4 linked regions of the Caenorhabditis elegans genome follow. The protein of the gene in region 3 interacts with the protein of the main gene of each other region in a pairwise test. Each region holds a gene or a part of one and is shown on either strand. Other genes may lie near its edges. The genes, in order: efl-2, klf-2, php-3 and fkh-2.

Region 1 (7,877 bases), on a different chromosome or scaffold from region 3:
TCGTCTTTTTCAAAAAAAAATTGTACTCCTTTCGGACGATCCGAATTTTAAGAAATTTTGGTTTGAAAATTAGCTTATCAAAAATTTGAAAATTTCGTGTACTCCTCTCGGACAAACAAAATTTGCAAAATTCGAACTTTTCTGTTTGTGTTTGTGGGTTTTTGCAATATATATTTTTTTTAATCTAAATTCGATTTTCCTGAAAATGTAATTTAAGAAAGATAGAAAATTGGCTGTGGTAGTAAACCATAAAATTGGAGAAAAAAATCGAAAAAAAAAATCAATAAAATTCGTACATATGTATATGTTTAAATCAAACTTTCGAGAAAAAAAAGGGGAATTTATGAGCCGAAAAAGGTATAGAGAATTAAAAGAAATTAGAAAATTTTCAAAAATAATATTTTAAAACAAAAAACCTGAGATATTCTGGGCGGGGGAGATGTAATAATAATGGAAGAGATAATTCAACCGAGATTCAAAAAAAAGGTACACTGTGACGTCATCAGGGGGGGGGGGGGGGGTTGAAATCGTGATGCAAGCGCGCTCCACGGCCAAAAATTTGAATTCCTCGTGTTTTTATTGAGGTCTCATTTCAGCTTGATCTACGTTGATCTACAAAAAATGCGGGAGAAGAGATACAAGAGAGTTCTCAACTGATTTCGCATGGTTAAGAACGTGCTGACGTCATACTTTTTTACTTTTTGTGCAAAAAATTCCCGCATTTTTTGTAGATCAAACCGTTATGGGACAGCCTGGCTGGCACCACATGGCACAAAAAAAAACGAAAAATGATTGCCGTGGAGCGCGTTTGCAGCGCGATTCCACCAAAATTCTCAATTTTTAACAAAAAGAAAACCTTTTTAAAAATAACACAATTTAAAATAAATTCAAAAATTAATCAGAGAAAAAGTCCATAACACTGACGGGCTCCTCGTCTTCCTGGCCGCTGGCTCCGGCTCCGGCTCCAGTGGCTCTCGACGGTGTCGTAATATTAATATAACCACTTGTCAGATCATCGGAGAAACTCGGCAGAATACACGGATCGATAAGTGACTTGAATGGACTGAAAAAGAGCCCACGGCCTGGAGTTTCTGGTAGATATGGAGCATTTGATTGTGAAGCTGATGTGGATGGAGGGAGCACAAAGGTTTCTGGAAAGAATTTGGAAATTTGGAATTTTTTGCCGAAAAAAAAAAGACCATTTTGTGGGCGGGGCATAGCTAACCACGCCCACAAAATGGTAAGCCCACGTGGTGTCAGGTTGTCCCGTTTCGTTGTGATCTACAAAAAACGCGGGAGAAAAGGTGCAGAGCTCTCAACTGATTTCGCATGCTGACGTCACATTTTTTGGGGAAAAAATTCCCGCATTTTTTGTAGATCAAACCGTGATGGGACAACGTGACACCACGTGTAGGCACCTTTTTTTTTTTTGGGAAATTCCGGCCGATGATTTCTGGAAAGAATTTGGAAAGTTGGAATTTTTTGCCGAAAAAATGATCATTTTGTGGGCGGGGAATAACTAGCCACGCCCACAAAATGGTAAGCCCGCCCCATTTTTTGTGATCTTTTTTTTTTTTTGAAAATTCCGGGCGATTTGGAAATTTTTTCCGAAAAAAAGTTGCCATTTTGTGGGCGGGGCATTAAATGGGAGGAGCTTCACAGACCACGCCTACAAATTGGTAAGTCCGCCCACTTTTCCGTGCCTTTGCGGCAAACTCTGTCTCAAGAAGTTTTTTTTTCGGAAAATGCAAAATTTTCAATCTCAAACCACGCCCACAAAATGGACACTTTCTCGGCGAAATGTTAACGCTCCGCCTCTTTTGTGGGCGTAGCCTCCTACGCTCCGCCCATTTTTCTGTGCCTTCTCGGAAATCATATTTTTTTCAAATTAAAAAAAAAAAAAACTTCGGGCGACTGTTTCTGGAAAGAATTTGAAAAATTTTGCCGAAAAAAAGTTCCCATTTTGTGGGCGGGGCATAAGAGCAAGCCACGCCCACAAAATGGCAAGCCCGCCCCCTATTTTTTGTGACCACTTATTTTCGGAAAATTCCGGGGGGGCAAAAGTTTCTGGAAAAATTTGGAAATTGGAAATGTTTGCCGGAAAATTGCCATCGGACGATCGAAATTTGATTTTTTTAAAATTTTTTCGAAATAAATTGTACTCCTCTCGGACTATCAAATTTTTTTTTCAATTTTTTTCCAAAATAATTGTACTCCTCTCGGAAAATCGAAATTTGATTTTTTTAAATTTTTTTCGAAATAAATTGTACTCCTCTCGGACGATCGAAATTAGATTTTTTTAAATTTTTTTCGAAAAAAATTGTACTCCTCTCGGAAAATCGAAATTTGATTTTTTAAAATGTTTTCGAAATAAATTGTACTCCTCTCGGACAATCGAAATTTTATTATTTTTTTTTCAATTTTTTTTCGAAATAAATTGTACTCCTCTCCGATAATCGAAATTTGATTTTTTTTAAAATTTTTTCGAAATAAATTGTACTCCTCTCGGACAATTGGAATTTTTAAGTCATTTTCCTGCGATTTTTTTCAGATTTTTTCCGAATTCTGTGAATTCCTCGCACCCAAATCCTCGGTATCAATTTCCTCCGGTTCTTCTAATTTGATGTGTTTTGGTGATGATGAGATTGTTGTGGGATCTGTTAGCATTTCAGCTAGGGTTACACGTAATGCTTCAGATGTCTCAAATCTTTTTTGTGATGATAATTTTTTCACATCGTCCTCGTCCTCCTCATCGCCGTACTCTGGCGGATCATTTGTGAAGAGCAACGCGTGAGATTTGACTCCATTCTTATTCCGAACTATCATATCGTGTGAGCCACTGGTGCTCGGGTCTGTTACTTGGATCTGGAAAAATGGCCCGATTTTAAGCCAATATATGGGCGGCGGAGCCTATTATTGATTTTTCTTGTGGATTTTTGGGTTGCAAATTTTCAAAAAGTTGTGGTTTTTTTTTGAGATTTTAGCTAAAAATTAGCTGAAAATTTATGTTCTTAAATTTTTTTCGAAATAAAATTTAAAAATCGCCAAAAAATCGAACCTCAAAGGAGCTGCTCGTATCCAGTTCTGATTTTACGATAATCGATTTTGTGTTCGGCTCGGCGGTTTTTCGAATGTCTTCTTTGCTCACATAACTGAAAATAGTTCTTTTTTTTATTTAAAAAAATGATAAACAATTTTTCTCATTTTATTTGTTAAATATTTCATTTTTTTCCATTTTTTAAAATTATTTTTTTCAGTTTTTCTTTCATTTTTTCCTTATTTTGTCCAAAAATTGGAATTCTCTTTTTTCTTACTTTCTCAGTTGAAACATTTTTTTTTCACTTTTTTTCAATATTAATGTAAAAAATGAAAAAGAATGAAAAAAAGAAAGAAAACACTTTTTTTTTCATTCTTTTTTTCCTTTTTTCTCTTTTTTTTACAATTTTTTTCCTTTTTTCACTTTTTTCATTATTAATGTAAAAAATGAAAAAAGAATGAAAAAAGAAAAAAAACTTTTTTTCCTCTTTTTTTCATTCTTTGTTTCCTTTTTTCTCTTTCTTTTTTCCTCTTTTTTCATTCATTTTTTTCTTTTTTTCACTTTTTTTCATTATTAATGTAAAAAATGAAAAAAGAATGAAAAAAGAAAAAAAAAACTTTTTTTCCTCTTTTTTTCATTCTTTTTTTTCTCTTTTTTCATTTTTCCTTTTTGCATTTTTTTTTTTCATTATTAGTGTAAAAAATGAAAAAAGAATGAAAAAAGGAAAACAACTTTTTTTCCTCTTTTTTTCATTCTTTTTTTCCTTTTTTTTTTCTCTTTTTTCATTTTTCCTTTTTTCACTTTTTTTCATTATTAATGTAAAAAATGAAAAAAACTTTAAAAAAATTTTTTTTTCCTTTTTTTCCTCTTTTTTCATTCTTTTTTTTTCTCTTTTTGTTCATCTTTTTTTCTTCATTTTTCTCTTTTTTTCATTTCTTTTTCAATTTTACTCAAAAATTTTAGAAAAAAACAAACTTATAGGGCCGCTCAATTGGATCCTCAAAATGGAGCTCAATAATCGCTTGAGCATCTCGTATCATCAGTTCGAGCAGCTTTTCCTGTTGGCGGAGCATCTCGACTCGGGCCTCGAGCGCGTTTTGCTCTTCGGAATTGTTGTTGTCTCCACTGGAAAAAATAGGGAAAATCGAAAAAAAAAACATTTTTTTTCATTCGAGAAAGAATGAAAAAAAAATTAAGTAAAAAATGCCTGAAATGAAAAATGAAAAAAAGAGAAAAAAACGATGAAACATTTTTTTTCCTTTTTTTTTCTTTTTTTTTTTCATTTTTTTTTTCCTTTTTTTCTTTTTTTCATTTTTCTTCTTTTTTTTCTTTTTTTCATTTTTCTTCTTTTTTTTCTTTTTTTCATTTTTTTTTCCTTTTTTTCTTTTTTTCTAGTATTTTTTTTTTCATTTTTAGACAAAATTGGAATTTCATGAAAAAAAAACCCGTTTTCAACCAAAAAATTGCAGATTTGTCTATATTTTCAAGTGGAAGTTGAAAATTAAAGCAATTTTCCAACTTTTACCGGGAAACACTTTTTATTAAAACTTCAATCATTTTTACGGAAAATATAGACAATTATGCAATTTTTCCGTTTTTCTCGAAATTTTGACTGGATAACAGTTTTTTTTTTGAGAAATTCCTCTGGAAAATCAGAAAATCAGGAAAAAATTGGCTGAAATTGTGATTTTTAGCCAAAATTTCGGGAAAAATCGGAAAAATATCAGTTTTTGAGCCAAAAATTGCAGATTTGCGCATATTTTCTTTCAATATCATCGAATTTTAGTGGAAAATTGGAACTTTGCTTTAATTTTCAATTTCCACCTAAAAAATTCGGAAAACCCAGTCAAAATTAGCTGAAACAGTGATTTTCAGTCAAAATGTCGAGAAAAATCAGAAAAGTAGCAGTTTTTCGGTCAAAAATTGAAGACTTCTGAATTTTTGCTCAAAATGATTGAAATTTCATTAAAAACTGCCTGAAAAATCAAATTTCCAGAGAAAATTTGGAAAATTGCTTTCATTTTCAACTTCCACTTGAAAATATAGACAAATCTGCAATTTTTTGGTTGAAAACGGTTTTTTTTCATGAAATTCCAATTTTGTCTAAATGTACGCGATCGTACTCTTTGCCCCGTGACTCACTCGCAATCCTCACATTATTAATGTTGTTTTGTTATCTTTTGCACCATTCAATTATGATTGCATTCCTATCCCCCGTCATTTTTACTTATCTTATTGATTCTCCGCCTACTTCATATTGTATATAAGCCATCACCTATCTGATGGCTCTATCCTTTCATTTAATATCAATAAATGATACAAACCCCAGCCAGCTCTGAACTCGATTACTAAAAATGAAAAAAAAATACTAGAAAAAAAGAAGAAAAAATGAAAAAAAGAAAAAAAGGAAAAAAAAAATGAAAAAAAATGAAAAAAAGAAAAAAAAAGGAAAAAAAATGAAAAAAAAAATGAAAAAAAGGAAAAAAGGAAAAAAAAGAAAAAAAAAGAAAAAAAAATGAAAAAAAAAGGAAAAAAAAAATGTTTCATCGTTTTTTTCTCTTTTTTTTTTCATTTTTCATTTCAGGCATTTTTTACTTAAAATTTTTTTTCATTCTTCCTCGAATGAAAAAAATTTAAGAAATTGAACAAATTTCACTCGGAAAAACCGGGAAAAATCGCACTAACATCCATCGAATATTATTCTTCTCCACCTTCTCCACATAACCGAGCCCCTCGAGCACATTGATGACGTCATAGACGCGTCGTTTCGAGATATTCAACTCTTTGGCCACTTCATTCAAATTGAGCACCTCATTCCTTTGCCGTAGGCTCATGAATCGTTGTGTAATGAGCCCAAGTGATTGCTGACTTCGAAATACTTCTTTGGGACTTCCAGCTGCTGCTGCTGCTCCGTCCTCGTGTTGTTGTTGCTCCGAGCCACCGGGTATTGAGCCCAAGTCTATTGACGAGGGATCCATACTTTGCATAACAGAGATCTGCAGAAAATTGATTTAAAAAAGGAAAAAAAAAGAGAAAAAAAGAGAGCATATTTTCTTTTTCTTTTTTTTTTCATTTTTTTTTCATTTTTTTTTTTCATTTTTTTCTCTTTTTTTTTCTTTTTTTTTTCTTTTTTTCTTCTTTTTTTTTTCTTTTTTTTTCATTTTTTTTTCATTTTTTTTTTCATTTTTTTTTCTTTTTTTTCTCATTTTTTTTTCATTTTTTTCATTTCTTTCCTTTTTCTTCTATTTTTTCTTTCTTTTTTCATTTTTTAAACCATTTTTTGCCCACAAAACGGTTGAGCTCGAGAAAATCACAAATTTTCAATTGAAATCCATGTTCAGAGCGGTTTTCATGCGAAAAACTATAACTTTCTGAGTACAGTGTGCAATAAGCCACGCCCATTTTATGGGCGTGGTCTGGTTGGCTCCGCCTATTTCTTGGCATTTCTAAAATTTTGAAAATGCTCAATTTAACTCATATTTTCAGTGACTTTTTCAAGAAAATAATGTTTTTCTCCGATTCTTAGTTTTGGCCACGCCCCTTTTCTGTGGGCGTGGTATCGTTAGCTCCGCCCATTTTATGATATTTCGAAAATGTTAAAATTTTCTATTTAAATCATATTTCCGGTAGAGTTTTTCACAAAAAAGTTTTTTTTTTTAATTTAATTTTTTGAACTTTTTTTTTCTTAATTTTAACCACGCCCCCTTTGTGTGGGCGCGTTCTGGTTGGCTCCGCCCTTTCTTGGCTTTTCGAAAATTTTGAAAATTCTCAATGTAAATCATATTTTTGGTGGTGTTTTTTTTTTTAAAGAAAAATGATTTTTTTAATTTCGAAAAATTTTCAATTTTTGACCTGACCACGCCCCTTTTCTGTGGGCTTTGTCTTTTAGCTCCGCCCATTTTTTGGCATTTCGAAAAAGTTAAAACTGTTCCATTATTTCCGGTGGTGTTTTTTTACAAAACAAAAAGTTTTTTAAATTCAATTTTTAAAATGTTCTCAATTTCGACCACGCCCCTTTCAGTGGGCGTGTCTTGACTAGCTCCGCCCATTTCTTGGCATTAGTTAAAAATGTATAATGAAAACTAATTTTTTGTGTTGTTGTTAACAGTTAAAAAAAACACTTAAAAAGTATTCAAATGCATTTTTGACCACGCCCCCTTTGTGTGGGCGTGGTCTGGTTGGCTCCGCCCCTTTCTTGGCATTTCGAAAATATTTTTCTTTCAAATTTTAACTGAATTTTCATGTAATTTTAAGAGAAAAAACAATGAATATTTCCCAAAAAATATTAAAATTAATTTTTTTAGCTTTAAACATTTAGGAAAAAAATTTCCGTTAAAAATGACCATTTTATGGGCGTGGCTTAGGTTTTGCTCCGCCCTTTTTCTAGAACTTTTTTAATTTAAAATAAAAGTAAAATTAAACTGGAAAAAGATATAAAAAGCGTTGAAAATTAACGCATAAATGGGCAAAAAATGAGGAAAAATTGGGAAAAAATGAGAAAATATTTATCAAAAAAAAAAAAAAAAAATTTTGCAACAAAAAAGACAAAAAAAAGCGAAATCAACATTTTTTTTTTTGGAATGATTATTTCTTTCCCTCGACCATAATCACATGATAACCGAACTTTGTCTTGACTGGGGGGTCCGTGTAGATTGGCTTGTCGCATGAGCTGTTCGACAGGGCAAATGCGGCGTCCTGAAAATTTTTTTTTGGAAATTTTTGTGGAAAAAATTCTAAAAATTGCCTAGAAATCTGCAATTTTAAGCATTTTTCCGGTGAAAAAATGTGAAAAATTGGTGTATTTTTATTAAAAATATTTTTTTTTTCAATTTTTTGGAAG
Region 2 (5,581 bases), on a different chromosome or scaffold from region 3:
GAGGATATAAAAAATACCTATATAATAGATTGTAGTTATTGTATTTTCTCACTTCCGTTGTCTCAAAAAATGGAACCTCTTCTAATTATCCTTTTCGTTATTTATTGTACAGTTTTTGTAATTGGGACTACTGGAAATTTGATTATGGTCCTGGTGACATATTATTGCAAGTAAGTACATCAACAATTTAAATTTAAAAAAAACAAATTTCAGAAATCTCCGGTCAATTTGCAACGTCCTTATTGGTTTGTGTTGCTTTTACGATCTATTACTTGCTGTTCAATTTTAAAAACCAGATTCCAAAAATCGAATGAAAATTGTTTACGACTCATCTTGCACTTTTAAACACGCAAAAATGTAGAGTGTCAGACAAAAAGATACATTGCCACTAAATTTGTATGTCTATGTAAATATATATGTGTATATATAAATATATTTCAGAACATATGTACATACTTGTTTACTCACATCTGAATTCTCTTCGAGATCTTCTAATATTTTTATTAGTTTTTTTTGTCAAAACTCAAAATCCTGACGGTTACAATTTTTACAAAGAATTAGGTTGCTGGAGTTGCCTCAGTTAAAACCATACTGCGAGTTTTACCAGTCGAACACACCTTTCCATTATCTCAATATATCAAACATTAATCAATCATAAAACTGATATGGTCCCGCCGCAGTTGAAAAAAAGGAGACCGCCCGTCCAAACAATATTCTCAAGTACGTTTACATACCTAGTCGGCACTTTTAACAGTAATCACTGCTTCCTCCTCTTCCGCACCCACTTACTGGATTGTTCGCACCCGTAAAATCATAACTTCCCGACTGTAGCAAGGCGAGGCGGTAGGGAAGAGGGTACTAAAATTGGAGGTGGGAGGGGGGGGACGTTTGGATAAACACAGCATTGGGGTATCATTTTAGAGTACTGTAAGTGATACTGTTTGTGGATATGTATAGTTTTTTTTTTCAATCTAGCGTCTACATTTCCCTTCTGTTTTTAGTCCCGCACGTCATTTTCAGATTTAAAACCAAATCTTGGTTGTGACTTGACTGTCCGCAAATCCGGCAAATAGGCAAAATGCCGGTTTGCCTATTTGTCGGAATTTTCATTTTCGGCAAGTTGCCGGTTTGCCAATTTGATGGATATCAGATTTGCCAAAAATGTTTAGAGGGATTTTTTTTATAAGACGGAAACACTTAAAACTGTGCCTTTTTGAATTTTTTTCCGTTTTTTTTTTTGAAATTTTCATAGAATTTTCATAGAAATAGAATTTCTGATTTGCCGGCAATTTGCCCATTTGCCGGAAAAATCGTTTGCCACCCACCCGTGATGTACTGTACTATTGATCAAAACCGGCATAACTTTGGAGCACTACAAAGCCTTGTGTTCTTTCTATAAAATTTCTGAACTTTGAAAACAAAATTATTTATCACATGTCCTTTTCCCAAAAAACTCCCTTCCTTCTTCTATTAATGACACCCATCTCCCCTCCACACATTTTCCGCGCACACACCTTTCTGCCACCCCTTTCTCAGAGAAACAACAAACCTCCCCGTTTTTTGGTTACTGTTTGCCCATGCCTATCAGTTTTGACATGCTATCATAAAATGGCACTTGCAGGGCATATGTGCGCCTTCTTGGATAATTTTCTTCTAGCTTGACCATCGTCTTCTTGACATGTTTATTTTTTTTCGAAATGCCCAAAAGTGTCGTAATCTTTAGATCAAACATATCATGACCACCATCTACACATGCTCAAGTTTTCTGTATTTTCTATTCTTGGGGGGAAAGAAAAGTTTGCTCAAGTTTTCTGTTTGTTATCATAGGAGTGACCGGTCTGGTGTCACCACACCCCTTTTTTGGAGCCTGGGGAGCTCACTTTTTTGTAGACCAGAAGAGGTGTGTATATTCGCTTAGGATGTTTATTTTTGTGGAAACATTAGTCATTTTTCTTTAGTTTCACGATAGATGCTCTACTAATGAAGGCACGTATTGTAATCTAGCATTAACATTGTTTTGTTCTTTGTGGTGAGTACATAGGTATTTTGTTTTTAGTGAGTTAGTTCCTACGTGTTCAGTGCATTGAGAGTTAGAGCCTTATAGTTAGTAGTTAGTTCCCAGAATTTCGAACTTGAAAGTTCTTAAAAATGGAGCAGCGCCATTGGGGAAAATGCTAAAAACAACTCCTATGGTGTCAAAAATGACCGAATATCAAAATAAAACTTTCAAAAAAATTTTGAAATTTTTCTATTTACTGTCAAAAACTGACAAGTGCTCATTCTTTGCCACTCATAATTTTAGAAGTCGGAAAAAAATTTCTTGCATTTTTTATATTTTCATTTTGTTTTAATTATTTGTTTTAAAAAATTATAGGGGTCGGAACATGCGACACTGCATTGAATTTCCTCAAAGGCTCATATTTTTCAATATTTTGGCAATGTGCCAAAACTTTGACCTGGAATTATGAGAAACCTAAAATTTTTAGGAGTGTTGCATCATGATATTTTGTCGCTTTGGTTTAATATAAGTGAGACAAAATTCTCACAGGCGCTACTCCACCTTTAACTTTCTTATCTCTTGAATATTTCGGTTTGAGTGTGAATTCTCTAAATATCAAAAAGATCCAAAAATTTTGCTACTAATTCCCCCTATTTGTATATACACTTGTGATATGACGTAAAAACATATTCACAAGAACTACAACTTTCGCTTTGAAAATTCACAACAAATATCGAAAAGTAAGCAGTAGGCAAAGAAGAACGCAAGACTTTTATGACTTGAAATGTATTGAACGAGAATGAAGACGTCACATTTGTGCGTGTGTGTATGCACAACGGTATTACATGGTGTTGTTGTAGTGTTGGAATATTTGTACTATCTACTAGTAGAAGTTGCCTTACTTTGGCTTATGGTTAAGATTTTCACTACAAATTTAGAACTATGCATACAATTAGGTTCAGGCATTACATCTTTTTTTAACCACAAAATGAATTAGTATTTGCCTATGCTAATTTTTATTTGACCTTCTGTTACAATGTAATTTTTGAAAATTCGTTTCAGAGTCTCACTCTTTTTTGGTGATTTTCAATTTATCGTTATTCATCTACAACTCCTTCCAGATGTACTCTAGCATAGTCCCGTCTAGTTCAAATGGTTACTATCATCAGTCTCAATACCAAAATGCCCATCACCAACATCATCAGCAGCATTATCACCAACAATCTCATCATCATTATAATGGAGCAGCTGCGGCTCCAGTCATCAATGTTCACAACTATCATTTTCATACGGGACCTGTTAATAATCAGGTTTTGTATTTAATTGAAGTTTTTAAATTCAATTTTCTATTTTTTGAGGTCATCGAGCAGCACTACAATCATCATAACCATGTCCAACAAACTTTCGAAGAAAATATTCCACAAGGCCCGCACAGTTCTTTCAATTTTTCCCATGACTTTCCACAACAGAATAATTCCGAAACTCACCTCAATCACATGGAACCTTCGATGACTCCAATGGAACATCAAAACTCGGGAAGCTCGACACCATATCCGTTTGAAGCCAAGTTATTCGTTCCATCGCCTGCAGCGTCTGTATCCAGTTACTCATTTTCAAGCGATTTGTCGGGTAAAGACGAGGAAGATCCCAGGATTCCTTTAAAAGATCGTGGAAGAGTATATCATCCGCAGAGCACTGAAAAACCAAAAAAGGTGCCGAGTAAACGGAGGGATAAGGCTACTTTGGATCGATTAAGAGTTCATAAGTGTTTTTATCAAGGTAAGTTGCAAGCGTGTTTAGCTTAAGCTTGAATTTCATTTTCAGGTTGCGGCAAGGTCTACACAAAAAGTTCCCATCTAACAGCTCATGAGCGTGTTCATAGTGGTGAGTAGCTTACAGAACCTCATTATACATAATTAATCATATCCTCCTCTTCAATGTCGTGAACAGCGCGCACTCGTCGGCACATTGTTCTGTGTAACGGGATACTTCCGTTGACAAACACGCTTCTCATCAATCACTAGATACTTTTTGTAACGAATGCACAGGAATCAACTACTGTTGCTATGTTATGTTAGTCCATATCAATATTTGGCCTTGTCCGGTACTTCGCGGCATCCCCCTTTTAGAAGTATCGAATAAGGAGTTGTAAAGTATCAATAAACTGTCAATTAAGTGCGTGGGCCTATGGATATAAGAATTAGGAGGGTTGCGGGAAAATTGGAAAATAATAACTTACCCAATTCCTAATGCTTCGGAAAGTGTGGAAAATGCGAAAGTTGCTTGCAGGAAGAACGCCTGAAATATCTATTATATTTTGGTTTATCTGGTGATTGACGAAACTCAGAGTCGCGATTTGATCTGACACTGAGATCGTCAGCTAAGCTTTTTAAAATGTTTTTTTGCTGCGAAAATCTAAAAATTTATAAATTTGCAACTGCTTCTTGGGAAATTAGCTTGCTTTTTATTTCTAAAACGGTAAGATGTAAAGTTTTCAACTTTTATGTTAGTTGAGCACTTTTTTTTAATTTTGAGGTTTGAGAAACGGATAGCCAAAGTCAGTTTTATACAGATCCGGTCGTAAATTTTCAACAACTTTTGATATCCGCAGCAGAAATTAAGATTTTTCAAGCTGAAAATCTCAGCTTTCAAATGATGTTAGTTTCACACCAAATGGCCACTTGGAGTTTTGAACATTCCCTAGTCAGCAGCTTGCCAAAGTATTACCTATTCGATAATAATCTTCTCATTTAGGTGAAAAGCCGTATCCATGTGAATGGCCTGGATGCTCTTGGCGATTTGCACGATCCGACGAGCTAACCCGCCATTACCGTAAGCACACTGGAGCCAAACCGTTTGCATGCAAAGAATGCTCCAGGAAATTTTCGAGAAGTGATCATTTGCAGTTACATATGAAGCGGCATGAAACGGATGAACAAGACGATGGAATGGATGATTTCAAGGATTTCATGACTTTTATTTGAAGATTTCGTTTCATTATGAGTGAGATGATACGTTTAATTATGAATAAACAGTAGATTGAATCCTTTCACATATTAAGAACAATGTAGTTCTTTGGCAAATTATTGAGTGGCGTAGTTCCAATTTTTGTGACAATCCGGCAGAAAGGGCATTTGATGTACCCTTGCCCGACAATTTTTTGAACACATCCCATGCACATCGTGTGACCACAGCCTGAAAATTTTCAGTTTTCTACTGAATTTAGAAAAAAATAATTTAAAACTAACCCAAAACTCGCGGAGTCTGATCCATAGTTTCTCCCTCAAACTTGCAAGCACAAATTTCGCAGGTTCTCCATGGGAACGGTTCTCCTCGTTGCTCTTCCTGACTCTTCACATGAAATTCTGTCAATTGGTTCACTCTCCTTCGATACCCGTCTGTGACTCCCTGCTCTTTTTTCACTTGTTCTTCGACGCGAGACATATCGTCTCTGAATCGCAATTTGAAGGAAAAGTCGTTAAGTTGCTCCTTCAAACTCATGTTTTCTCGCAGTAATCGTGCCATGTGTGATTCTTGAATAGTGAATTCTGTATTGACTTTCAGGGTAACCCTTGACAGTTC
Region 3 (5,628 bases):
GTCAATCAATATCTCACGAATAAGCGGAGATCAGAACTCTCTGCACAATTGATGCTTGATGAGAAGCAGGTCAAGGTCTGGTTCCAGGTATGTTATAGGCAGTATTCAGCGGAAAGTCTAGAGATCATAAATGTGAATTTTTATCTAATGTCCTAATGAAAAAAATTCCAGAAATTTTGGTAAATTCCCAAATTTCCTCATTTTTAAAAATTAATTTTGAGCTTCTCTGGATTTTCAAAAAACGAACATCTGAAAAATACTAAATTTCAATATTTTGAACATTTACAAGGTTTGGGCACTAATAATTGAAAAAATACAATATTTAGCGCCAGCCAAAACGAACTCGAAAAAATTGAAAAATTTTTTAAAATTTCCAGAAAAGTTTTGGCAAAATGCCAAATATTTAAACCTGTTCCGACCTCTAGAATGTTTTATAGGAATTTTTTTGGCAGACTTCCAAAATTATGACTTTCAAAAACTGAGTAATTGTCACTTTTCAAACTTGTCAAACTTGTCAAAATTTTCAAAATTTTTTTGGAAAAGTTTTGCTATCATTTTGGCACCACTGGAGTAGTTTTTAACAATTTCCTCACTGGCGCTAATCCATCAATAACCATACTTTAAAAGTTAAAAATTACTTTTCAGCACGTGGTGTCAGAGTATCCCATTTCGGATTGATCTACGTTGATCTACAAAAAATGCGGGATAAGAGGCGCAGAGTTCACAACTGATTTCACATGGTTAAGAACGTGCTGACGTCACCTTTTTTTAGGAAGAAATTCCCGCATTTTTGTAGATCACACCGTAATGGGACAGCCTGGCACCACTTTTTGTAGCCACACTTTTTTGAACTAAAGTAACATTCGTAATTAATTATCAGAGTGCAAATAAATAAGTTGGACATTTGTGAATTCACGTAAAAATGGAAATGTGCAAAAAGGAGGCAAAAGGTGAGCAGGTTTCAGGCAGGCATCAGGCCTTGAAACCGCATCTGCCTACCATGAGAAATAATTGAAAACTTTAGAAACCTGAAACCGCGCCTGAACATTGTCAAAAACCGTAAATATGTTGTTTTGTCTAAACTCCAACCATTTTAACATTGCATGAATTGTTTTGCTTTCTCTTAACTTCACTGTTTCAGAATCGACGAATGAAGGACAAGAAACTGCGTCAACGACATTCCGGGCCATTCCCCCACGGTGCTCCAGTCACTCCGTGCATCGAGCGATTGATCAACTGATTTTCTCTATTTACACAAAGTGTTCTAACTAATGATTTTTTTCTGATTCTTATTCATTATTCAATTTGCTCTCTTCTCTCTCAATTTCATAATTTTTGTCCCAAATCTCGTTTGCACAGGGTTGTGTTTTTAGCCCATTCTTCGTTCTCTCCAACCGGTACCTAGACACCGTTCACTATATTTTTTCCCTTATTGTTTGTCGTCCTCTTTGACTCTTTTTTCGATTCAAGTTCAACTTTCTTTTTCCTTTTTCATGATTTAATAACTCTTTTTTTTCAATTGGCAAGGCACCCATAAAGTTGTTTCGTTTTTCTCTGTACGTGTATGTCTGTCAGTGTATCCTGTACTTCCTGTACTACTTGCTCCTCCGTCGAGCCGATGTTCGTTCTCTACCCCCCAGCAATGCCACAGAGAAAAGCACCACTTTTGGGTCTTTGCCAAACCTGTTTTTGTTTTCCGCTAACAACCTCGTTTTACCCCCGACCTTACCACTTTTCTTTAGTATCTCTCCCCGCTGAAACCCCAAAAATAGTGCTTTTCTTGCAGGCTTGCTCACGGTAGACAACGCCCGAACATCAGCGAGCTCCCGTCATCATCCTAATGATTTCGGTGATGCAACAGATGATGAACAATTCTAATATGCCACCCCCATTTGTGAAGAGCTCTGATTCTCATGAAACTCATGATGAATCACCGACGTCTCCGTTCATTAAACGTTCGGATTCTCCTGCAACAACGTCTTCGGCGGCAGCAGCAGCAATGCAACACAACTTTTGGTCGACAAGAGCTGCACAACTGCAGCAATCTGTATCTGGATCATCTGGTGTTTCTAGTGGTTCCAGCAGTTCTGCATCGAACAATTTATCAAGGACACAAGCGGACAATCATTCGGAACGAGGATCCGACACTGCTTCCAGTCCTCAGGTTGCACCACTCCCAACGAGGTTTGTTAAGTATTTTAAATATCGCGGTCAAGTGGAAACTTTTTAATTTTAACTAGAATACAAATTTGACAATTACCACAACTTCGGCAATAGATAGCCAAATTTTTGCCCATTTCCATAAGCATGAAGTTCCTAAACGCCTAATTTTCTTTCGGCAACTTCAGCGGCCGGCCCCGAAAAATTTCGAATTATAAATAGCCTTGATAATCAGGGGTGGGCGGCAAACGATTTTTTACGGCAAATCGGCAAATTGCCGGAATCAAAAATTTCCGGCAAATCGGCAAATTGCCGGAATTGAAAACTTCAGGCAAATAGGCAAACCGGCAAATTGTGGTTTTGCAATTTTTTTTTCGAAAATTCAGAGTTTCAATTTTAATGGGCAAAATTTTACGCATTCTATGAATGCTCCTACATTTATTTTGAAAATCAAAAAAGCCGGCCACTCGGCAAATTGGCAAATTGTCAGAATCAAAAAATTCCGGCAAATTGGCGAAATTGTAACTTTCGGCCTATCGGCAAACCGGCAAATTGTGGTTTTGCACATTTTTTTTGGAAATTTCAAAAGTTCAATTTTAATGGGCAAAATTTTACGCATTCTATGAATGCTCCTACATTTAATTTGAAAATCGAAAAAGCCGGCCACTCGGCAAATTGGCAAACCGGCAATTTGCCAATTTGCCGATTGCACAAAAATTGCCGAAATTTTTTCGAAAAATTGGAAGCTCGGCAACTTTTAGGCTGCCAGTTGTCGATAGTTGCCGATAGTTTTCAGAAGTTATTGAACTTTCTGAAAATTTGTTAAACAGTGTCAACATTTGTCGAAAGTGGTCGATAGCTGCGGATAGTTTTCAAAAAATGCCAAAAATTGCCAAAAATTGCCGATAGTTACCGAAAATTATTGATTTGTTTTGAAAAGTAGCCAAAATTTGCCGAAAGTTGTTTTTTTTTAATTTTAAGATATACAAAAAATACCCCGACATTATAAATTTCATATTCTTAATTCAATAAGTACACGTAGTGCCAGACTGTCCCATTACGGTTTGATCTAGAAAAAATGCGTGATTTTTTTTGCCCAAAAAATGTGACGTCAGCACGTTCTTAACCATGCAAAATCAGTTGAGAACTCTGCCGCATTTTTTGTAGATCTACGTAGATCAAGCCGAAATGAGACACTGTGACACCAAGTATGTGTTCTCAACACAAAAACCAATAAAATCAATTTCAGCAGTGGTATGTCAATGCCAGCAGCGGCTGCAGCCGGAATGTACCCATTCAATGCTGGTCGATTTCCAACAGAGTTTAATATGATGGTTAATCAATCAATGTACAATGATTTCTATTCAAATAGTCTTGCTGCATCTTCTTGGCCATACTCTTATCCACAACAATATCCGTTTGCAAACTACTCAATGCCAAGTTTAGATGGAAATTTGAATGGTTTGTTAAAGTTTTTAAGCTTTTGAAGTTTTTTTGAAAATTTTTATTTCAGACGGTGGTCAACTAGAATGGACGTCCTCTTCACACGCAATGCGTAAAAAGAGGAAGCCGTATACGAAAGCGCAGACATTGGAGTTGGAAAAAGAGTTTTTGTACAATACCTACGTCAGTAAGCAGAAGCGGTGGGAACTTGCAAAGTACTTGCATTTGACTGAGCGACAAGTCAAAATTTGGTTCCAAGTGAGTATTTTTGGCTTCCATGGTAGGCAGGCGCGGCTTCGGGGCCTGCCTGAAACCTGACCGCCTCTTTTTTGCATTTTGACGTGAATTTTCAAATTTCAAATGTGATGAAAATAAAATTAATAGATGAAAAAGCGCAGATTGAGGCGATAGGCAGGCGAAGGTCGCCTTGAGGCCAGGCAGGCAGGCAGGCTACACGGATGCCCTACTTATTATTAAGATGTTTCATTCCAAATGGACAATTTGATTCAATAATCGTATAACTGCGTGTATCAGAAATTCTGCATCTATTGATTACTAAGAAAACACTAGATTCCGAGGATGCGTTTTGCGCAAAATATCTCGTAGCGAAAACTACAGTAATACGGGCTCGAGTTTTAAAATGGATTATTAATTTATCGATAGAATATTATTATTAAACAAAAGAAACAAATTAATATAGCTCACGTGGTGCCAGGCTGACCCATGACGGTTTGATCTACAAAAAATGCGGGAATTTTTTGCCCTAAAAATGTGACGTTTGAACGTTCTTAACCATGTAAAATCAGTTGAGAACTCTGCCGCATTTTTTGTAGATCAACGTAGATCAATCCGAAATGGGACACTCTGACTCCACGTGATAGCTGTCACAATTCAAAAAAAAAGTTAGTTTCGAAAATTGAGCTCGTAAGTCGACACTACAGTAGTCATTTAAAGAGTAGTTTTCGCTATGAGATATTTTGCGCGTCAAATATGTTGTGCAATACGCATTTTCAGAATTTTGACTTCCAGTAATATTTATATTATTTTCAGAACCGACGAATGAAAGATAAGAAGCAAAAGCAACGAACATCTGGAGATCCAACTGGAATGCTGATGCCACCTGGATTGGATTAACTCGAAATACTTTATTGTAATTGCCCCACCTCACGCGGTGCCTTTCTGTCCCATTACGGTTTGATCTACAAAAAATGCGGGAATTTTTCGCCCAAAAAATGTGACGTCAGCACGTTCTTAACCATACGAAATCAGTTGAGAATTCTGCCGCATTTTTTGTAGATCTAAGTAGATCAAACCGACATGTGACACTCTGACACCACGTGCCACCTGGGTCTAAATTTGCCAAAAACCATACCAACTTGAAATGTTTCCTGAAAAGTTTTCTGTTTCCTTTTAGGTGAATATTGAACTTCTTTTTTTTTCTTCCATCTCTCTCTCTCAACCTTAGCTCAAATGTTCTACTTCATTATATCACCACCATTGATCCGCATTTAATAAATTCAATTTACCGGTACAAACTACTTTACTCTCCTCAATATATTCCCTCAATAATCTTTTTTTTAATTTTAACTTTTTTTTGTATCGGATTTTCTGAAAAAACAAATTTTTTAAACAGTTTTTTTGAATCTTTCAAAAGTTAGATTGTGTTTCGCCATTTACACGGATTTCTGGCTTCCCTCATAAATTGAAATGGAAGAGTTTGCCGAACTAGGCCATTATGGCTCGGCCACATCTGGGGTAGATTTACGGTGCGTTGCGTGTCGCGTCGCGGCTCGATTGTAAAACTAAATGTAATTGTCCGTGTGGAGTACACGACACTTTTCCACGCGTTGTCCGACAGGCGATTGTCAATGGAGCGCGAAAAATTCAATGAGGAAGGCCAGAACCCCGTGGTGGACCTAAATTTTCACAAATTTTGAACAAAATGGGCCTAAATATTCACAAATTTTGAGCAAAATGGGCCTAAATTTTCACAAATTTTGAGCAAAATGGGCCTGAATTTTCACA
Region 4 (4,193 bases), on a different chromosome or scaffold from region 3:
TTTATCATGATATTCAGTCATTCTGAATCGTTGTAAGTGCATTTAGATCACCACTGGCGCTTTAAAAAAAGCTTTGACTTGCAAGTCTTTTAAAATGTTAAAACTCTGTTTTTTTTTCATTTTTGGTAATGTTTCATGTAAATTATTGACTCCTGATCTCATTTTTCATGTGTGAGCGCGTTCGTCAAAAAAATATTTTCGCCTGATTATCCAGCTGTCTGAGATATTTTCAGCGGATTGGTCCTTGATCAGTTGGAAATATTTTATGAGATTTCAATCATTTACTTTCTCAACAATTTTTTGTTAGCCAAAGCTGTAAATTACTCAATTGAATCTCCGAAACATTTTCAATAAAAAATGTAGCAAAAGTAGAAATTGTATTTAATTTTACGTAGCTAATGTTCAACCATTCTATTAATACGTGTCTCACCTCTGCATGAAAACAATCGTATTGTAATTACCCTTTTCAAACCATGCATTCACAATATTGATCCCTCTCTTAAAAACCACCTGCTATTATAGTCTCAATATGTCTTCCGGATTACAAGACACTAGAAGAATGAGTATTGAGGAGTCACTTAGTTCAATAATATGACGAGCAGCTGAATGGTGTCAATCAAACGATTTGTTGCAAAGTTGCTCATCCGCTTACCGCAGAAGATAAACTTTTTTCAATTTTAGTTATTTCAAATAGTTGTGACAGGTTACTTTTCTTACAACTACTTTTATTTTGAACTTCGAATTTGAATTACATTTTTTTAATAGCTAGTTCCACTCGCAAATGTTTTTGTTATTTTTTAATAAACAATATTTCCTCAGATTTCACTACAAACCATAGTTGTAAATTTGGCAACAACGGAGTAACGATTTTTGGAAACAAAATATAAAACTTTCCAAATTTAAAATAAAATTCATATTGTTTCATTTAGACACCATAGGAGTGGTAGATTTCTCCATTGTTGCTACTTTTTCTTTAATTCTTTAAGTTTACTTATTCATGCACGAACTGAAACTCAACTTAAGTTGGTAATAGTCTACATATAAAGAAAATAAGAGCAATTCTAATTAATTCATCAGAAGTCATTGTAAAAAAATATAGGAAGAAGACGGGTCATAATACTTGATTATAAAACTTTTTTGTCTTCCTTCGTTAATTTGGTCTAATTTCATATTCCTCAATTATCAAGTTATGTAAGATTAAGTTCTTAAGTTATCAAATATCATATTAATGAATTGCACTTTCAAAATCATGCACATTTTTTAGACGTTCGAATTTTCTGTTCAGACAGACAGTGATTTAAAAGTCATGCAGAATAGAACACTTCCACCATAATCATCCTTGGAAACGCCTCTTTGGTTTTTTCTTCATACTCAAACATTTTTGATATCCCCGTTAGTCTTCACCGCTTTACTATACTTTTTGCACCCTTTTCTACGTAGTTGGGAGACCATTCGGTTCACTCTTTCATCTTGGGTCCCCCCGCACACTCTCTACCGTGCAGGCCACGCCCAGCCGGGTGATCGCAGTGGTTAGTCCCACCCACACTGGACCCATCACTTTGTCGTGTCATTGTTTCCATACCAAATCGCATCAGTATACCAACTTTCCAAATCTCAGGAAAACGACTCGAATTCTGATGGCTCGATTCTCGATTCTGGATCTGTGCCCGGACCTTGTTGAAGAGGCGGTCAAGATTGAACAACTTCACATTTCAACTCAACCATGCATCAAGCAAGAATCCACGGGTTGGTTCGTTTTCTATTTAATTTTAAGATAGATCTTAGTATAAGCTGTTATTACATTTGTGTGTACGTGTTTGCAAACCTTCTAGGAAAAAGTATGCATTTAGAGATTAGAGCCAAGGAACAACTATTTTGTTTTTGGTTTTCAAAAGAATATCCTTGCATATCGAAAAACTCCACTTTAACACTTAAATTCATATTAATACGATTATTCTTTAAGTCAAACTTTAGAAACATTAAGCCTTCACAATATAGCTTTCCAAAATCTCGGATAATTATAGAGCTCTAAATATATGTGCTATCCTAAATTCCAGTTACTTCTTCTTAAATTCCTAACTTTATTCTATCAAAAGCATACGTTTTAGGGTACTGTACATTTCTTCACACCAATTCCATTACCATATTCAAAAGCGCGGCGGCTCTTGTTATTATTATTATTCTTATTATTATCTGTTAAACATGCGCATATGTGCTTTAAGCTTACGGTAGCGCCCGCTGTTTGCCTCAGCCAACCGCACTTGTTGTCGTCGTTGATTGATGTTTGCCATCGTTCTCGTTTTTCGTATCAAATCCTCCGCTTGAATCCCCAACCGAACCTCCCCAAGCGTTTACACTTCACCTAAAATGTCAGTAGAGACGCGGCGACCAGCTGTCATGTTGTTGCGGATTTGTAAACCCTCAGCTCGTCAAAACTCATAATCTCTTTGTTGCACCACATGCTCCGGTCTTCTTATGCCTACCGTAATCGTTTTATCTTCAGATATCAGTGACCCAAGCACATCAATCGACACTACTGACACCATGTCCACCGATTATCTTCATGACGAGAGCATTGATGACGAACGATCAGAGAGCACATTGAGCAAGGTAACTAATCATTAAATTCCCTCTCTACGTTCAATTTCGAAGTATTCCACTTATTCAGGATTCCAAGTCACCATCATCCAGCAACTCAGAAGAGAAAACTCCAAGCTCTCCGAACGACAAGCCACCATTCTCCTACAATGCATTGATCATGATGGCCATCAAAGACAGTCCAGAAAAACGTCTCACATTGGCTGGAATTTACGAATACATCGTCACCAATTACCCATTCTACCGGGACAACAAGCAGGGATGGCAAAACTCCATCCGCCACAACCTCTCCCTCAACAAGTGCTTTGTCAAAGTTCCAAGAAACTTTGATGATCCAGGCAAAGGTAATACTCTAAATCGTTTTCCAATTAACTCATATTTTAATCCAATACATTTTCAGGGAACTATTGGATGCTCGATGCAACTGCTGAGGACGAGGTATTCATTGGTGGAGCAACTGGAAAACTGCGCCGTCGCCCTTCCTCTCTCTCGCGTGCTAGAATGGACGCCTACAAGCAGTACGGAGCAGCCGCTGCAAACCTCTTCCCATACTTCAGTCCAGGAATGCCAGCCCTCCCTCGTCACCCGTATCTGACTGCTCCAAATGGCTTTCTCCCTCGTCAAATGATGCCGATTCCAGCGATGCCTCAAGTTTTCGCACAACCTGAACTTTTACAATTATACATTAACCAACAACAAAGCTTATTCACAAAACTACAGTAATCCTTCTTTTTATGGCCTTCAAGTTTTCTTAACTCAGCATGTGTCTCCTATTAGTAGTTCGGTGTACCTATTTTTGATTTATAACTTATTTCGACCTAATTAACCTACACCAAGTTTACAATATTTCTATTCACGGGTAGCAACTTGCAATATTTTTTTCAAGAAATTGATTAGCGGTAACTTTTATAACTATAAATACATGCCCCTCTTCCGCTTGTCATCCTTCTCCCTCCACAACACCTTATAAAGATCTGTGTTCCTTGCTTTATTACTTGTTCCCATTCCGTGCTTGTAACACCAATTGTTATTTTTTCGTCATTATTGTCAACACCTTTATGTTTTCATAATAAATCACTTGTAGTCATGTGACTCTTTTTTGCCGTCAAACGTCGATTATTTTTGTCGGGTGTTGGTTACGCAATGGAGCTGTGCAAATCGGTGGTCATGGTATTCGAGATGCCGCCCCCGAGCAGATGCGTTTTTTTTTATTTCGCCACGCCGACCGTTTAAACTATTAAGATTAGATCTGAAAATTGAGACCAAACAGAGAATTTCAAGCTCAGATTTTGAAATTAATTTGGTGCGAGAAGTCAAATTTAGTTTTGTACAATCCAAATTCACAGACAGTGATTTTAAAGTGATGCAGAAAATAACACTTTCCCGGTAATCAGATTTGATGAAAAAAAATGTTTTTTTGACATTTTTGATATCTCGATAGAAATCTTCACAAGTACACAGAAGGAAAATATAATAGTTTAAAAGCTCTGTTCAGTCATAAATGGAGCAAATTGCGAAAATGCCCGAATATCACAGTGAAACTAAGTTTTATTTAAAATATTTTGTTTTGTTTCAAAAAAGTGGTAAATACTCAG

The links.
Region 1: the proteins of php-3 (region 3) and efl-2 interact in a two-hybrid assay, tested with the Caenorhabditis elegans proteins (one large-scale study listed by BioGRID).
Region 2: the proteins of php-3 (region 3) and klf-2 interact in a two-hybrid assay, tested with the Caenorhabditis elegans proteins (one large-scale study listed by BioGRID).
Region 4: the proteins of php-3 (region 3) and fkh-2 interact in a two-hybrid assay, tested with the Caenorhabditis elegans proteins (one large-scale study listed by BioGRID).

Annotation. Positions count from the first base shown.
Region 1 is NC_003280.10:13,404,298-13,412,174, reverse strand, and holds efl-2 (Transcription factor efl-2), read right to left. Parts: upstream 6,036-7,877; 5' UTR 6,016-6,035; coding exon 5,723-6,015; intron 4,163-5,722; coding exon 4,013-4,162; intron 3,153-4,012; coding exon 3,059-3,152; intron 2,866-3,058; coding exon 2,583-2,865; coding exon of another isoform or gene 2,548-2,582; exon of another isoform or gene 2,491-2,547; intron 1,152-2,490; coding exon 895-1,151; 3' UTR 280-894; downstream 1-279. Other genes in the region: pinn-4 (Peptidyl-prolyl cis-trans isomerase), read right to left, coding at 7,622-7,732.
Region 2 is NC_003283.11:20,683,788-20,689,368, forward strand, and holds klf-2 (Kruppel-like factor 2), read left to right. Parts: upstream 1-1,895; 5' UTR 1,896-1,911; intron 1,912-1,942; 5' UTR 1,943-2,029; intron 2,030-3,120; coding exon 3,121-3,309; intron 3,310-3,357; coding exon 3,358-3,778; intron 3,779-3,823; coding exon 3,824-3,883; intron 3,884-4,753; coding exon 4,754-4,983; 3' UTR 4,984-5,043; downstream 5,044-5,581. Other genes in the region: F53F8.3 (RING-type domain-containing protein), read right to left, coding at 5,049-5,194, 5,248-5,581. UniProt on the Caenorhabditis elegans protein: Probable transcription factor which regulates lipid metabolism.
Region 3 is NC_003281.10:12,073,715-12,079,342, reverse strand, and holds php-3 (Homeobox protein php-3), read left to right. Parts: upstream 1-1,786; 5' UTR 1,787-1,840; coding exon 1,841-2,184; intron 2,185-3,409; coding exon 3,410-3,621; intron 3,622-3,673; coding exon 3,674-3,861; intron 3,862-4,653; coding exon 4,654-4,737; 3' UTR 4,738-5,125; downstream 5,126-5,628. Other genes in the region: Homeobox protein nob-1, read left to right, coding at 1-87, 1,142-1,240. UniProt on the Caenorhabditis elegans protein: Probable transcription factor, involved in posterior embryonic patterning, morphogenetic movements of the posterior hypodermis, and cell fate specification. May regulate expression of transcription factor dmd-3.
Region 4 is NC_003284.9:3,739,699-3,743,891, reverse strand, and holds fkh-2 (Forkhead box protein fkh-2), read left to right. Parts: upstream 1-1,568; 5' UTR 1,569-1,637; coding exon 1,638-1,746; intron 1,747-2,150; exon of another isoform or gene 2,151-2,351; intron 2,352-2,501; exon of another isoform or gene 2,502-2,503; coding exon 2,504-2,610; intron 2,611-2,668; coding exon 2,669-2,942; intron 2,943-2,998; coding exon 2,999-3,321; 3' UTR 3,322-3,685; downstream 3,686-4,193. UniProt on the Caenorhabditis elegans protein: Transcription factor. Plays a role in embryogenesis and later development, perhaps acting redundantly with forkhead protein pes-1.